3 linked regions of the Neodiprion lecontei genome follow. The protein of the gene in region 2 interacts with the protein of the main gene of each other region in a biochemical or structural test. Links are inferred from orthologs where the notes say so. Each region holds a gene or a part of one and is shown on either strand. Other genes may lie near its edges.

What was found.
Region 1: the proteins of syndecan (region 2) and peripheral plasma membrane protein CASK form a complex in vitro, tested with the Homo sapiens proteins (2 studies listed by BioGRID and IntAct, with this or other methods). The link is inferred for Neodiprion lecontei from reciprocal best matches to the Homo sapiens genes SDC2 and CASK.
Region 3: the proteins of syndecan (region 2) and syntenin-1 form a complex in vitro, tested with the Homo sapiens proteins (3 studies listed by BioGRID and IntAct, with this or other methods). The link is inferred for Neodiprion lecontei from reciprocal best matches to the Homo sapiens genes SDC2 and SDCBP.

What each region holds. Positions count from the first base shown.
Region 1 is NC_060262.1:31,566,917-31,571,566, forward strand, and holds the start of peripheral plasma membrane protein CASK, read left to right. Parts: upstream 1-1,645; 5' UTR 1,646-2,114; coding exon 2,115-2,173; intron 2,174-4,650. Other genes in the region: uncharacterized protein LOC107218162, read left to right, coding at 183-268, 631-826. UniProt on the Homo sapiens protein: Multidomain scaffolding Mg(2+)-independent protein kinase that catalyzes the phosphotransfer from ATP to proteins such as NRXN1, and plays a role in synaptic transmembrane protein anchoring and ion channel trafficking.
Region 2 is NC_060263.1:25,408,303-25,413,436, reverse strand, and holds the start of syndecan, read right to left. Parts: upstream 3,102-5,134; 5' UTR 2,933-3,101; coding exon 2,858-2,932; intron 1-2,857. Other genes in the region: ATPase inhibitor mai-2, mitochondrial-like, read right to left, coding at 4,024-4,152, 5,096-5,134. UniProt on the Homo sapiens protein: Cell surface proteoglycan which regulates dendritic arbor morphogenesis.
Region 3 is NC_060261.1:38,853,074-38,859,456, forward strand, and holds syntenin-1, read right to left. Parts: upstream 4,738-6,383; 5' UTR 4,520-4,737; exon of another isoform or gene 4,456-4,519; intron 3,594-4,455; 5' UTR 3,575-3,593; coding exon 3,524-3,574; intron 3,363-3,523; coding exon 3,162-3,362; intron 2,869-3,161; coding exon 2,755-2,868; intron 2,656-2,754; coding exon 2,420-2,655; intron 2,342-2,419; coding exon 2,188-2,341; intron 2,070-2,187; coding exon 1,960-2,069; intron 1,889-1,959; coding exon 1,834-1,888; 3' UTR 556-1,833; downstream 1-555. UniProt on the Homo sapiens protein: Multifunctional adapter protein involved in diverse array of functions including trafficking of transmembrane proteins, neuro and immunomodulation, exosome biogenesis, and tumorigenesis.

The sequences.
Region 1 (4,650 bases), on a different chromosome or scaffold from region 2:
CTGTGACCACTTTTGACTCATATTTTTCAAAAACTAAGATGTATAAAAGATTCAGGATGAAAATGATAAATTTTTTCTAAGAAGCACAATTGGATTGGTACCGTAATAAAATCGTATACCTAATTTATATTGTCAAGATATTTCTGTCCGAATTGATAAAAGGAATGTTTATGCTTTCACAGCTTTGCAGATCATTTCTCGCTCTCTATCTAAAGCTAGACGAAAGCAACGTTCATTCGAGTCTGGTTGATTCATGGGATAGAGCAGGGTAAGGTTCTGATAATAATTAACCTGTTTGTATGCTAACGAGTGAACAGTTTCAAGTTTTGTAACAACATACAACGACAGAACAATTTGGTATTGCCAGTATGTATGATACATAATACGTATGATTGAAATCCCTCAAATAAAAAAACTATGCTTATAACCTGATATTATTTTTGTTCCCATTTAAATTCCTATTTATCAATACTCAAATATGGTGTTCCTTGCATTCAAATAGTTGAATATCACCTGTTTTTATCACACTAGCAGCGCTTCTATCGATTCACAGTAACTGAAGTCATGCCTGTTCTATCAGATCTCTTAAGCGATATTGAGGGGTTATTATATGTTTTATTTTCATTCTAGACAGAAGATAACAGTGTTGAAAGGGTATAATCACAAACACCTCGTATACCTGGCAAAGAAAGTACGTCATGTAGCTGTTGAATCAAACACTTTATACAGAACAACTGGTCAGGCCAGAGTAATGCTGGTACTAACAGCGTTTGGCCGAGAGGAAGATATGGAAGAAGCATTTGACGATCTGTGTTACTTACATTGACGTCCATGTAAACAACTTGATTTGTCGGCATAGATGTAGCGGGCAACTTCACTGCCACAACGTGACATATCTCTTTGACCGTGTGTGGCTTATACTGTGTGTCAAGTCATTAGAAGCTATGTTACTTATTTAAAGAGCCTCAAAGTCGTTTTGGACAGAAATTCAAGTCTAACAAATATTTTGAATAAATAATAACGAATCAATACAGGGTTGCACATATCACGGTTTATAAATTCGTCTCTGTTTTTGTTTTTCCTAGTTTTTCTTACCGCAACGTAAACGCAACAGCTGAAGTATATCTTGTTCTAACACTAGTCTTTCAAGCATTACGAATTCACAGCAGCGAATCCGTATACGTACCTAACCATTTGTCGCTCAAGTAGAGCTAAGTAACTAATTTTAATATTATCAAGTTGTTGTCAAATATGCGTACTTATACTTATGCATAGACGGTATCACGTACAGAGTCGGGAGCTTTTCTACGCTTGTTTGCATCGTTGATGGGAAAATATTGTCAATTAACACGTATGCGGTGTTTGACATATTCCGCGATGAATTTTGAATTCGTCCGTGATACGAGCAGGGCTCACCGTGGGTCGAGAAGGCAGTGAGACACGCCCCACCACGTCGATTTTGTCGGCAGTCCGCTTGCGCGCGCTCCGCGCGTTGCGTAGACGACGGCAGGCGCCCAGGTTTCGGTGCCGAAACGTCGCGCAGCCGCCCTGCGCCCGCCGTGTTTTATGCAACCAGTTTTGCGTCGGAGCAACGGGTTGGTTGGTGTGGTTGGGTGTCGAGCGCTGCAGCGTTCGGCGGAGAGCAGCGGGGTTGTCAGAAAGGCGTGTGCTATCTGTCACGGTCCTAGTAGCAAGTAGGATTGCTGTCAAAACGTCAGTGAATGGAGGCGCGTGTCCTCCGGCCATTTTCGTAGTTTCAAAACCGCCTGACAAAAGTGTGAATTCCGCATTGTGCTAAAAGGCGGTGTTTGCGTGTGCGCTCTCGCTGCGTTTTGCCCCCTTGTGCTCTCCGTGCCGAGGGTGGAAAAATAGGTTGGTGTACGTGATAAGTGACAGTGAAACGAAGTAACGGACGAACGAACGAACAAACGGCTCGCGCCGAACGACCAGCCTACGATCGCTGCCAACTACCGTAGGACCAGACTCCGCGAGGAGGCGAGGCGAGGCGAGGCGAACGCCGTGGGCCACTGCCCCCTCCTCCCCCCCCCCATTCTGCTACTACCACGCCGTGTTGAACGGAGGCAGCGGGCTTGTCGGCCGGCATAGACGAAGTCATGGCAGAGGATGAGGTCTTGTTCGACGATGTTTACGAGCTCTGTGAGATTATCGGAAAGTGAGTAAACTCGGGACTCTTGATTCTCATCGGAACGAATAGAGAATATTCTACTCCCTCACATTAACCTAGTAACGGTCAACGGTTCGAATGTTTGTCCGCTGACACACTGCGAGCGTTTTCGTGTCCACGATTGTATTTTGTTTTTCAACTTTTCAGGTGTTTACTACACTCTTTACCCGCCGAACGAATTTCGGTCGGTATTCGAATGCGATACCGAAATTTCGAATAGGCACACTTCTATTATCATTGTTTATAATTTTGTCACACTTGAACCTAACCTGATTGACGGGCGTTTCGTCAGCGTGATCTCACATTTCCAGGTATACGTGTCGACGACGCACACACGGGTGTTTACCTACTCTTCGAAATGCTTATTACGGGAGTATGTGTGGATAGCCTGACTTATATCAGGTGTAGTTGGCCATCTTGTGTTTACTTCAGCCCGCCAAATTCAATTATCCGTTATCAAGACTAGTTTATTTTCTCTCTATCACCGTCAACTTCAAAGTGGAAACGATAACCTCAGTCTTCTATTTTCCAACGACATTTTAACGAGCAGTTGGAATTTGCTCGTTTTAAACTTGGTACTATAAATTCCAGGTTCACTGATCGTCTCCTTTGCATGTTACACAGGTGAAATTTGTCCGGAACTATGTAAGCGCGCGTCAGGGTTTCGATCTAGCGTATTATCTTCAACTTCTATTTCATTCTTTGAAAATTAGCATAGGCAGATTATTTCATGCATATAGACATACCTAGTCCACAGTACCTTTATTCACGTACATAGGTATATTATTATACATACACGGACTCATATGCTTGCATGTATGTATCAGGTCGGGAGACGGGAATGTGTTTGATATCGATTATTTTGTCCCGAAATATATCCACCGAACAGGAAAGGGGAAACGAATATGAAAAACTTTTGTATTACCACATATGCCAGTCCTTGGGTTTTACCGTTTCCGAGTCAAAGTTCAACCATAAAGTTTTCTACAGATTAAAGCCCAAGCATAATGTTTTAGACGAGTATCAGGCAACACGTGACGGACGAACAAAATGTTATACACCAACGATTGCCAGGAAAGTAAACTGTGACGGACCTTTTACTCTTCTTACCTGAACGTCACAGCGTTAAAATGCGCCACGAAAAAGTTAACAGTCCTTGACGTGAGTTGACAGTTGAATTTATGGTACGACCGTCGAGTTGAGCTTACTCTGGGTCTTTGTTGGTCTACATTGGACTCTTATTCAAACAATCCTGTGAACAATTCTTAATCTCCCAAACTAGATTGAGCTGTGGCGCTGTGGATGCACTCTCTAAATATGAATTAGTTATAAGTATACCACTGGAGAAAATCATTGTGCATACACTGGAAGTCAATGACACATTATCAGGCTGAAATTGGTGACGTAACAAAACCTTAGGCTAACAAGTCGACATTATCGGGCAATTTAAAAATGACTTTCAAGGAGTTGGCTATTCAAAATTAAAGTATATTTTGTTTGTAATAGTTTACTAAGTCTCAGGCATTCTTAAAAATGCGGATTAGCGATTTTTCTTGAACATGCATCATTACAGTAACGTTAATAACTTCACCCTGTGAAGTATTAGTAAAAACTCACTGAATCGTCAGTGCATATGTACTGATTTTTTCCAGTCGTATACTTATGATTGGGAATCAGCGAATTTTCACTGATTCAAATCCAGAGAGTGGGCTCGGCAGAACTACACTCACGAGCAGGTATAAGGGTTTTATTATCGAAAGAAATTTGTGCACTACGCAGTAGTATCTGTATTACTTCATAAATCTTTTAAGCATTTTATGATTTAATGACAGAGAATATTCGTCGTGTGCGTTGAAACTGTACGACCGTTGCATGTGAGTTACATGAATACTTGAATGGTTCGAGTCAATTTGCTGTTCGTCAATTGAAACTAACCTTTAGCTGGTCATACCTAACATACCTTGCGGTCATTTGTGACGTAAAGGTTTGTAATCTTTAGCTGGCACATTTATCTGGTCTAACATTGCTGGTACCTTGGGTCGACTGTAAAATTTAAAATTATTCTTGGGATCTTTTTTATCTTGTAAAAGACACTTAGGTGAATACTCAAAAAAAATAAAGTTCACATATTAAGTTGCTTCATTACAGCAATCAATTTTCGATCGGAGTCTTCAATGACCCCAAGGTGCCAGCAATGTTATACCAGATAAAGGTGTCAGCTAAAGATTGAGTGAACACACGTTAGATATGCAGATCCAGTTAGACGCAATCGACGAACGTTTCTTTATACTTGGTCTATTTTTTTTTGTTCTCCTTAGAACGGTTCGTTCCATCGATCGGTAATGCGGTTCAGAGTCTAATGATAAGTCAACCAATTTGATCTTCAACCTTCGGTATAACTGGGTACCTACAATTATATATTTGATCATATTAATACATTGCTCGGCTTACTTTATTCCTCCCAC
Region 2 (5,134 bases):
AGAACTACGGAGCGCTTTTCCTGGATGTCAAAATCCACCGGGTGGAGGACCTGGACAGCCAGAACTACGAAAATTAGTCCTGAAGGTTAAAAATCACCAGGTCAAGGACCTGGGCGGCCAGAACTACGGAGCGCTTGTTCTGGAAGTCAAGTTTCACCGGATAGCGGACCCGCAGCGCAGGGTCCAGGAGGTAGAGAGAGAATCCGGTACTCGAAATCTGCCGAGCGCGATTCTCATCCGTCCGCTTTACTGCGCGATTGTTTCGAGACTGAGGAATTCGGCTAGCTGATTTTCGTCGTTACGATTACTATAGATGGATGACGTCGAGAGAAAAAAAAATTTTGGATGACGTCACTTTCTGAACATCCGAACATCCAAACTATGGTTTTCAACTTTAATACTATGTATGATGTATGATGTGTGATGTTCACTCGTTTGCAAGAGCACTTCTCGACCCTTTTGTATAATCATTTGTGTTCTTTAACTCATGTTCGCTCACCCACCTGGAACATTTTCTGATAGTCAAAATTTATAAAATTCGGAGGCACTTTTCCACATGAACGAATTGCAAACAGATTATCAACTTTTTGTCCTATTTCTAGTCAAGTATTTTGCTTTATTATTATAGTCTGCATAAAAAGTACCGTTCTGTGCGATTGCAAATTCAAGGTTTTCAATAATACCCACTATAAATATTTTTTCTTAAATTCCCCGATTTTCCCTCACCAAATTATGAATTTCTCTTGGGTAAAATTCCAACTAGTAGTACGAATTGGAGTATCGAATAAATAAAACTCCGAACTAATCAGTTGTCAAAAATCCGTGTATCCATATATTTAAGGGTCATGAAAATGAGCACGTGAGGGAAAATATTTTTCTTGTCTAGTCTCTACTTTTCTATCATGCCACTATAAAATTCCCTCACTAATTACAAAATGTTTTGTCCTTTCCATAAATTGCCTGACCACTTTGCGATTCCGTGTTTTTCTAATTAGTCAGAAGCTACAGCAACACCATAACTGAGGTAAAAATCATGATTGGAATGTAATATGTTCTGAAAAATGGATTATGCAACGATGCATTCTTGTATACGCGCGTTTCCGAACGCTTATGTAGCTGGCTGGAAATATATTCCTTGACGGCAGTCAAGTAGAAAACTTCCCTTTAATAGAATAACGAAATTCTTTAATATTTACGGAAGTTACCGCAATTTTCTGGCGAGTCTAATCTGGTCTGATACAACCGTCATTTATTTATTTTATAACCCATAACGTTTTCGTAACATTTTTTCTCCCATGGTGAAAAAGTAATAGAAACAAAACCATCTTTCATTGGTACGCAAATATACAAACTACTAATACAAATACAAACTAAGAATGGGTTATTTTACGGGGTTTAAGTGTATAAAGTTAAAATATCGAAGCATAGCAAACTAACAACTACGTCTCACAAAATATAAGTGACAGGCTTTGCTTAGTCAAATTCCTAATTTCAAGCTTCGTTTACAGTTGACTGCATCAAAGAGGCGATTAACATGAAAAATTTTCCTCAAGTCAACGTTACGAATTTAAACCTCGTAATGAAATGTGTGAAAAAATATAAAATTCACTTTTATTCGTTTCTTTGAACATCGCGGTTAAAAACGTCGAGTTTTTTGTTGTGCCATATTGCAATTTGCACGTTCAGATATGGAACATATTTTCGGTTTTGATAAAACGCTACCGTTCACACTGTGAGAAAAATAACGGTGTCAATATAAGTCCACACTGATTAGTGTAAAATTAAACATCATCGATGTAAATCGTTCGATTCTGGTCACCAAGTGGTTTTAAAATCAACACTAAAATGGTGTGAACTTCTATAGAATATTTTCGTTGTTACATATAACACCGCATTTCTAACAGTGCATCAACAGAGTTCGTGCAAAAAGCAGTTTACAAAATTCATCGCTTTCCACATTATATGTAATTTAAAATAGTTAAATACAAAACCCATCGTTTGTACAGTCCATAAACAGCCTTAAGTGAGATATAAAAAGATTTGTAATTTGTCGAGTAAATATGAATGATTTAGCGCAAGCATTTCCCAGAAATCATTTTCCGTCGCGGTAATGTAGCTTCGATATGAAAAAGTAAGAAAGAAACTAGGATTACCGGGTATTCAGATTTGAAATGCGACTTTTGTAATCAAGCTCCCTGACTTTCTTGACCTTCCTCCTGGTTTTCCAGATTGCAAACATCTCTCCCCGGTGTTTCATTGACGCGATTGTTTACATCTCGACGCGCGTTGCCTCGTTCCTTATTCGTTTGTTTTTACAATCGAGCATATATTATCATTTAACCATGGCCTTTCGCTATCGTTGTTATCAATTTCTGCCGGTTTTCAATCACGGGGACGTAGACCAGGATTGTATTGAATTAAATCGACTCTGCTTACGCGATGTAATATCCCGTCATCGGGTCTGGAAATATTCTTTACCAGGGCATCAGAGGGCACGAGGGGGTTGGCGGGGAGGTTCGTCGCTCCGCTTATAGGACGCGTCCGTCACACATGGTTCTCCGTTCTCGCGGAGATTTCCTAGAGCCACATCCGTATATAAGCGATGCATTTTCCCCCGTAACGCGAGGGTCGGTCAATTGATCGCGTCGTCTGCCGCGTTAGCCAGTTTTCGAACTGCTCGTAGGGATGAAAGGTGTCGAAAAAATATTCAACGAACACGGACGAGCGAGGTAAGCTTCGCAGGTATTATTCGTGATGAAAAATGAATCGAAATGCTTCGAGTGGAATGACTCGGGATGCGAGAGACTAGACGGGGTGAGGACCGAGGGAAAATGAAAAGTGACAGACGTTCACTTACCTCTGATGCAGCAGCGTTGCATCCCGATAAAATAACGCCTCCGAACGCCAGAAACAGGTATATCCTTGGGTGCATTTTTGTTTATTCCTTCGCGAGGGAGGGGGAGGGCCCTGGACTGAGCCCGAGAGTTTCACTTTGTTTCGTTAAATACAAAACTAATCAAATACAACCGAAAAACCACCAAAACTCGAGAGCAACAATGCGAACACACCACACTGATCAATGAATCCTACGACACTGAGGGCGCGACGGTCGTCCCCGCTTCTTCTGTATTTCGCGCCATCTTGCCACCGGTAGTGCCACCTGTGCGGATTTACGGCGAAGCTCTCGTGTCGGCAGAAGTTCGATCGATGCGTGACTATGATAGGGTAGGTCCGTGGCGATATTATGACAAACCCCTATAACGTTAGCAGATTATTTATCAGATGCGTCGTTGACTGAGGCTAATATTATTCGACTCGTATTGTCGAGATTTGAACTTGGGTTACAGTCATTTTCAACTGATATTCATCACTGTTAACACCTTAACAGGGATAAGAAGTTTCAGTTGTTTTTCGAAATGAATTTATATTTTTTTTACTTTGCACAGAATAGCCGCGTATTCAACGATCATTTTTATTTTGTACGCTCGTAAAGTTACGCGAGTGTACTTTGAAGTAAAATAGTTCAAAACGGTATTGCATATCTGCCTGACAATGATTTTTGAACTGCATTTTTACAGTATTTAGGCTACCGAAGCAATATCGTACAAAATGAAAGAAAGTCAAACAAGTGGAATTCCCATTTTTATAACGTGACAATGTGATAAAACCTCAGATACAGATAGTATTATACTAGCAATTGGAACTTACAAAACCAAAAATATTAGAAATAGAAAAGAATTGCATCGTTGAATTAGTTCAGTTAAAGCTGGGAGCTAGTATGCTAAGTGTGCAATAGCTCAAAGCTTAATTACAACATAGTTTTGGATGATGAAATATGAGTTCGTACAACTTTTTTAACTATGAAAAGCTGTATACTTTATTTCTACATAATATTTAAAGATTTAATAGTTTAAAAAAAAAAAATTCCATTCAAGATGTCATTGACTATCATTGACATTAAAAATACAATGATTTAATTTGATGTATGGCGGTTCAGCTATTCGTCAAATCCTGCATACATTTTTACTTCTCCATCTTTCCAATTCGAGCCTTGTGGCGCTCTATGGCCTCCTGATGACGCTTTATCTGTTCCTCGTGAAAAGAGATCTCATCATGAAGACCGTCACGCAGATTTTTCAACTGCTCCTTTTGCTAGAACAGAAAAAGAAAATTCAGTGACTGCATATTAAAGTGCGTGAGAATTATCCTATGGAATACAAATATGACGCAACCTCTTATGTTGGCTATTGAAATTTAACTTTTTGATCTTGGTAATTACTCACATATATCTTGTGAAAATGAATTTTGTAACATTTATACAATGTTGCAATTATAAAAAGTCTGCTTACTGCCCAATTTTGGGATTATATAACATTTGGTGAGGCATAATAAGGAAAAACACATTCACGGTTTGCAAACTCAACTCTTTCAAATTAATACGAGAGTTGAAATATATAAATTTTTTGTTTGATCTGTCGTTACGTCAACATTACTGATTTCAACTTCGTTATTTGGTTTTGCCATTCCAAAAGTTCAAGTCATTCAGTAAATTATTTGAGACAGCTTCGAAGTATCTTTGCTAACATAATTCAGCAATAGTAAAATATATATTTTTTCTATTCATTCCAAGCAGTGTCTCCATGGAAACAATCAACATATCTATCAGTCAATTTTGCAACAATTGCATAAACTAATTGTTGAAACATAATGACAAAGTTGAGAAAAAAAATTTTCCTCAGTTAATAGGAGTATCATGAAATATATCTTAAAAAGTCATTAATTTTATAAAATCAAACATTGATAGTGACATATAAGGTTGAAGATCACCACATCAACGTTAAGAATAATTTTTATTTTTTTTTAGGAAGAGCTGTTATTTTTTCATTTTACGTTCTTTGCTTGTAAGAAAATGTAACAAATAAAAGAATATGTTCACTTTTTGCAATCTTATTTCTTTTATAATCATTTCAAGGTTACAAAACTCTGAATTTATTTCAACTTGACAAACTCCTACTAACTTTTCATTTCTCAAGTTAATGAAGAATAGTGTTGAGGACTGCTTAAACACCTATCCTATCCTATGCTAGCGTTATACCTGATTGTAGAAGTATTGGTCTTCGCGTGCTGCTTCCAT
Region 3 (6,383 bases), on a different chromosome or scaffold from region 2:
GCTGATTTCGAAATACTGCCACAACGCTATCACTACTACAAATCTACCCGTTACGAAAAATAAATTCCACTTGATTCATCGTTCAATTATAATTATAGATCATTTGGGTGAACCCCGTTTGGACATAAAAAATAATCGAAAGTTATATTGGACACGAGATTTAGTGGACTAGCAACGATTGGACACCAAGATTTATTCGGCACAGCCCCGATTGGACACAGCCTGATCAGACATGGAAAAGAAATGCTGAAGTTTCCACTTCAAATAGAAGAGTCTCTCGTTTTCCACGATAAGTCTGATAATGGGAGTTCACCATTACTTTTCCTCATCTGATAATTTAGGTTCTAATCGAGCATTTGAATACATTTACGAGTATTCAATCTTTGGAGGCCGATGGACCGTTTCCGCAACATCGCTGGTGTTCGATCCGGCTGTGTGAAATAATTCCCGTGTCCAATATAGATTCCGATTATTTTCGGTGTCCAATAATGCTGGTGTCTAAAAGGGCCTTTCTCGATCATTTACGTGAGTTTCGAATAGAACGCGCCGGCTTGGTATGCAATTTTTATTTATAATATAACGTTCAGAATCGCGTGTTACAAAAAATCACGTACATTAAATGCATTATATATATATCTTAATTATCTTATCAAGACACGACTATATATTAGAATAAACTTACGTGGATTGGATTTGATTGTTCAAAATACATATTTCTACGCTACGTTATAAATATATACCGTGTGTGAGCGTGTCTTGTGTGTATATCATATATACTATATTTTCATTTACCTCGATTAGGTAATAAATGGCACAAGAGAAATAGCGAGTAACAAATTATATAAACAATGTATTTTCTATTTAATGACTTTAAAAAAATTCTAACGCTACCATATACTAACTGTTTTCTTTCCTCTACATGTTCAGTAATAAAATATTTGATCGTTACATTAAGTTTATGTATACATATAGTCTGAATGTTCAGATGTTACTTTAAAACTGGAACGGATAATACACTAATAACAAGCATACATTAAATGGTATTTTTTATCACGATATGAAATTCGGCTGCGAGGAAAAATATCTATTTTTAAGTTCAAAAAGGAATATCTCGGTAAATTGAAACCTATGAAACGGAAACTGTAACGAGTCTTAGAAAACCAATATTGAAAAGATGAAAACTAAACATGAAGGTATCACGTTTGCGCAGGTCAGCAACTAATTACTTCGAAAATCAATATAATTATTGATTGACTTTGTGAGTTATTGAACGCTGTATTATATGATGCACTTTTCAGTCTCTTCGCGTACACATTTTCATTAATCTCCCGTTCAAAAGATCAACGAATAATACGAATACGATATTCTCTTTCATTTTTCGTTTATAATTGAATACTTCTAAGTTCTCTATAACGTAAAAAAAATTAAGGTAGTGGTGTCAATTGGCACATTAATGACAGTGCAATAACTAAGGCAACGTTGTTCGGCGATGCCGATCCAGAAATCTAATGATTTCCTGCGTATCAAGCCACCGTATAAGATAATTCTACAGTCTAAGGTTTGTTTATTTAAATAATTTTTTTTCAACGAATTTCGTTGATTCACAAAGTTAAAGGCCTTCGTTACCATTCGCTGATTCCTTACCAATGCAATTCATATTTTCAGTTGACCATAATTACAGTGAATGGCAAAAGATAACTCAATAACCAGCGGGTATATGATAATAATGAATTCAAGTAAATATGACACGTGTTTCTTATCGCTTGATTATATACTTGGGTTAGATTTAATTGAAAGTGGAAAAATATGGTCTCGAATCACCACTGCCGTCCTTTAAACAGTAGGAATGGAGTGATCCATTCCCGATTTCAATAAGCTGCCGGACATTCTGTAAGGAGAAAGAAAATTTTTGTGCAGAATATTGTAGGAAATGAAAAGTTTAAGTAAAAATTGACGTACTTTTTTATCATGTGCTCGTAAATGTAGGAAGGAATAATTGTGATAGTTATGATATCACCACCATTTTCAATTTCAGCACCAATTTCTTTGTCCTTCAACCCAATCACGTTCTGAAAATACATCAAATTTAGTTACAAGTTAGTGCAACTGATTCGATGACCAACTGTGTATGAAAAAAGTAATTCGAAGCATCATATATTACTTTCAACAAAGCTTCTCAAAGTTTACCTTGCCATTAACTTCAAGCAGTTGATGGTCAGTCAATAGCCCATTTCTAGCAGCTGAAGAGTCCTTCACCAATGTAGTGATTTTTCCATTTTTGAATTGGAAGCCGATATGGCCAACGCTGTCCTTGTGCAATGTGATTGTCCTTTCAAATGGCCTAAAATAACAGATTAAATTTATTTCAAACTAATTCTGGCTGGAAAAATACAAATAGGTTGAAAAATGAGCATGTTACCTGTCTCTAACTATGACTTTGATACCATTATTGGGAGCTTTGCGCAACAGTTTATGCGCCTGATCCATGGAGTAACCAGCCACAGTGACTCCGTTTATTTCCAATACTTGATCGCCAAAACGTAGACCTGCCATAGATGCCGGAGAGTTTGGACTCACGAGGCAAACAAACACTCCGTTATTCACAGAGTGTACTCTCATGCCGATTTTCCCATCTTTGTCCTTGCACAGAGTCAGCTGCGAGAAAACATACAACCAAGTTGATTACATTATTGTATGTTTTTTGGTTGGTCTGAATACCAGAAGTTTAATTAGTAATGAAAGTAATCGATATACCTCTCGAATGCCATTGGTGACGTGTGCTCTCTGCAGACCCAAAGAATTTCCGGACAGGGGAGCAATCATACCAGATAAGCTTCCAGTTGATGGAGCTTGCGGTGCCAAGGCAGTCTGTAAAAAAATAAAAAGTTAGTTTAAAGCTAATTGCTGCTCATGCAATTCAGGCAGGAACTTACAAAGGATTAAAATAAAATTGACACAATATATCGCAAATTTCTAAACTCTTACAAATTTCATATGATAACAGAGAAATTTGATGTCATTTAAAAACATTTTCTGGTATTGTACAAGCTTGCTTATACCAAATTAATTTTTGTGAATTTATTTTTGTCGAATAATCAAGTATCTCGGTAAGAATCTCGCTTTAAAAAAAACTTGAAGCATAAAAAGTTTGAATTGCATACCGACTGTCGATTGACAACTGCATACTCAGGCATATTGGCAGCTATCACATCTTCACTAAGTTCTAATCCCATATAATCGCCAAGAGCTGGATAAAGAATGTGATGCTCCGGAGCTGAAGGACAACTAGCTGCCTGTGGGAGAGGATTTTGTGGCACCTGAGGCGGATGCGGAATGTAATGTTGATCCGCTAGAAGTTGAGCCTAGAGACAGAGAGATGGAGGAGTCAGTCGGTCTAGGTAGGATGGGTAGAAGTTACATAGAAGTATTGATTACCAAAGACACATGAATTATTACAAGGCATGGAAAAGAGACTATACACAGTATGTGACATATTGAGGAGGTACAGGGTGCATTCACCTACCTTGATCATGTGATCAACCTTCATATCCTCCAGGGACGGATACAGCGACATTTTGCTTTTAAGGTTCACTCTGTAATTAGTAAAATATAACTCTCTTAGTTAGTGCTTTATCAGATGTGGTATTGTCACGTACTTGCCTACAAAGCTTATCGCTATGACTCAGATAAAAAAGTTCGATAGTGTTGCTAACAGTATTGTACATAAAATTTGGATAGTGTTAATATTATTTTTGCCTATAGAATTAGAGAACAAAACTGCGTTTCAGAGCATAATTAAACATAAAAATTTCTATCGATTGTTCTGTTTGAGTGGAGCAAAGTGGTGAAACTTCAGATCAGAAATGTATAGAGAAAAGATAAAATACGTATGAACTACAGTGAGATTTTTTTTATAAAGGAGGAAATTCTGCTTCTCAGATGACTCGCACTATCGATTGCTGACCGAGAACAAAGTTCTTGTCTGAATGTAAAGTAGTACTGTGCGAAGAAAAATGTTAAGCTTGTCGAAGTCTCTTATCTCACTCTACATGCTTTCGGCTTAATCACGTTATACGTAGTTTATTTACTGTACAGAAATAAGATTCGTTCGGTCATAAAAACCGATACCTCAGTTTCAACTTTCTCAATAATTCGGTATTCTTCAAGAATTATTTGGAGGAAAGAAGGAGGAAATGACGATAAATGATTTCCTTAGAAATACCGTTGACAAAAATGTAGAGCAGAAGCTTAGGATAAATTTTAAACACATAATAAACACGTAGGTGGTTGTGCAGCCTGCGGTTTCAAACGCTTTATACTTTCATTGATCCTAATTCAAAGGTTAAGCGAAGGTCGGGAAAGAGACCATGCAGCGAGGAATATCTCGTAGTGTTACAGATATTAGATTCTCTTTGTCAAAGGCGTTCCAGGAACAGTAAACGTTGTTCAACTCACATGCGTGATCTGCAACGAAACGTGGACGAGCCCTGATTCTTCCTTTCTTCTATAAATATCGCACTTTAATTCACAGAGTCACACCCTCGCGGCACGGAAAGCAAAGTTTCAACGGTTTCAACTAACCGCCTTGCTCTGAATGTCGGAATGTGGTCGAGAATATGCCGCACGATACAAAAGCAGACTATCGAATAAAGAACTCTGAGCGCACTGCCAAACCCTATCACTTGTCACGCTTGTCTCACGCACAACGGGCTTTATTACGCTTTTTTACTATTCCCATTTCCCGCCATCCGAGCATTCTGACTGGTTTGCAAAGTTTAGTCAACCAGTGAGAATGCTTGGATGGCGGGAAATATGAAAAGTAGAGGCAGTACGTGTACGCATTCGAATAACGTCAAGCGAATCGTGCAACGTGCTGCCCTCAGGCGGTGAAACTTCGTTCTAGGAAGTGGAAAAACACGACACTCACTTTTGGGAATTCCCTGATCGATTCATCCGAACACCGGTTTCGCAACTTCCTTGTTCCCTTCTTTACACGATAGAACCGGAGCTCTATTTGTACTTATTGACGATTAAAATAAAATGTTAAAAGTTCAGGAGAGGATATTTTGCTACCGACCAACGTATGAAATTTTGTTCTTTTTCACCGGCTTGTACTCCGTATTCCGGTATTACGAATTCCTCTCGAGGTTATTAACACCGATGCACTTATTACCGTTGCAATATGACGTAGTTGCAGCGCGTGGGTGGATCGTTAATGATAAAATGTGAGAAAAGGGGCAACAGTTACCGGCTCGAACGTACAGTTGTAAACGTTTTGAAGTCGCAGAATTTGGAAATTATAGTTTATATATGTTATAACAAGAAGCGGTTACGAAAAGTGATTTAAGATTAAGATATTAATTCAGTATTATATGTTTTATGAAATTTCCAGTGTCATTGGATGGATAAAAGCAAATCTCAAGAATCGATAAGTCGGTATTTCTGTACTACTTGCTACATCATCGCGTCGCGGTATCAGAATAATAATATGAATGTTTGTACGCAGCTTGCGCGTTGAATTCAAATAGTCGTTATTACGTGTTATTGTTTCATTTGTTATTTATTCATTGATCAAAGAATAAGTATAAACTATCAACATAGCGTAGATAACGTATATAGTAAACAGATATGAATATTTACAGCCTATGTCTTTCAGAATTCCCGCACCAAGAGTACTCGATCAGCCAGCTTTCGGCAAATTTTACTACTTCATACACTTCACGAAATACAGGGAAAATTCTATTCAATACAATTCAGCACGAGTTCAGTAGGAATATTACAAGTATAGAAATGATGGAGTTATGTGCTTTGTGATAATCCGAAGAAATGGAATCTACAAAAAGAAAACAACGATGTAATATTTGTATTTCAGAAATAGAATTTGTATGCTAATCAGTGTCTCCAAACCCGTGACCTTTACTAATACGTATGTGATGTGAAGATTTGCCGAAGATGGAGATTAGACTCTTATAATGATAGTTATATAATTATACAATAATTGAGTGACCTGCACTTGTAAATATAAATTTTGCCTAACAATTCCTTCATTAAAAACATGTTTCAAATCCATAATATTCGTCATTCAGGCGTGACTACGTATAATCACGAATCGACGGATCAATGGTTTACATTAAAAGGACCTGTTTCAAATTCGAAGAGTCGACAGCGACTTCGCTCGACGCATATACACGTTTTTAATTTGAATCCATTCTTTATCAACGTGGACCAGATTTTCCATTTATTGCTTCTCTACGACGTTGGGTTCTCTAACTAGTCTATTACACCAGGATACAGGCAAAAATTCATGACTTACACGAGAGTTACGAATCAGTGTGACACCGCGAATGAAACTATTTCAAATTCATCACGTAATTTGATTTCAC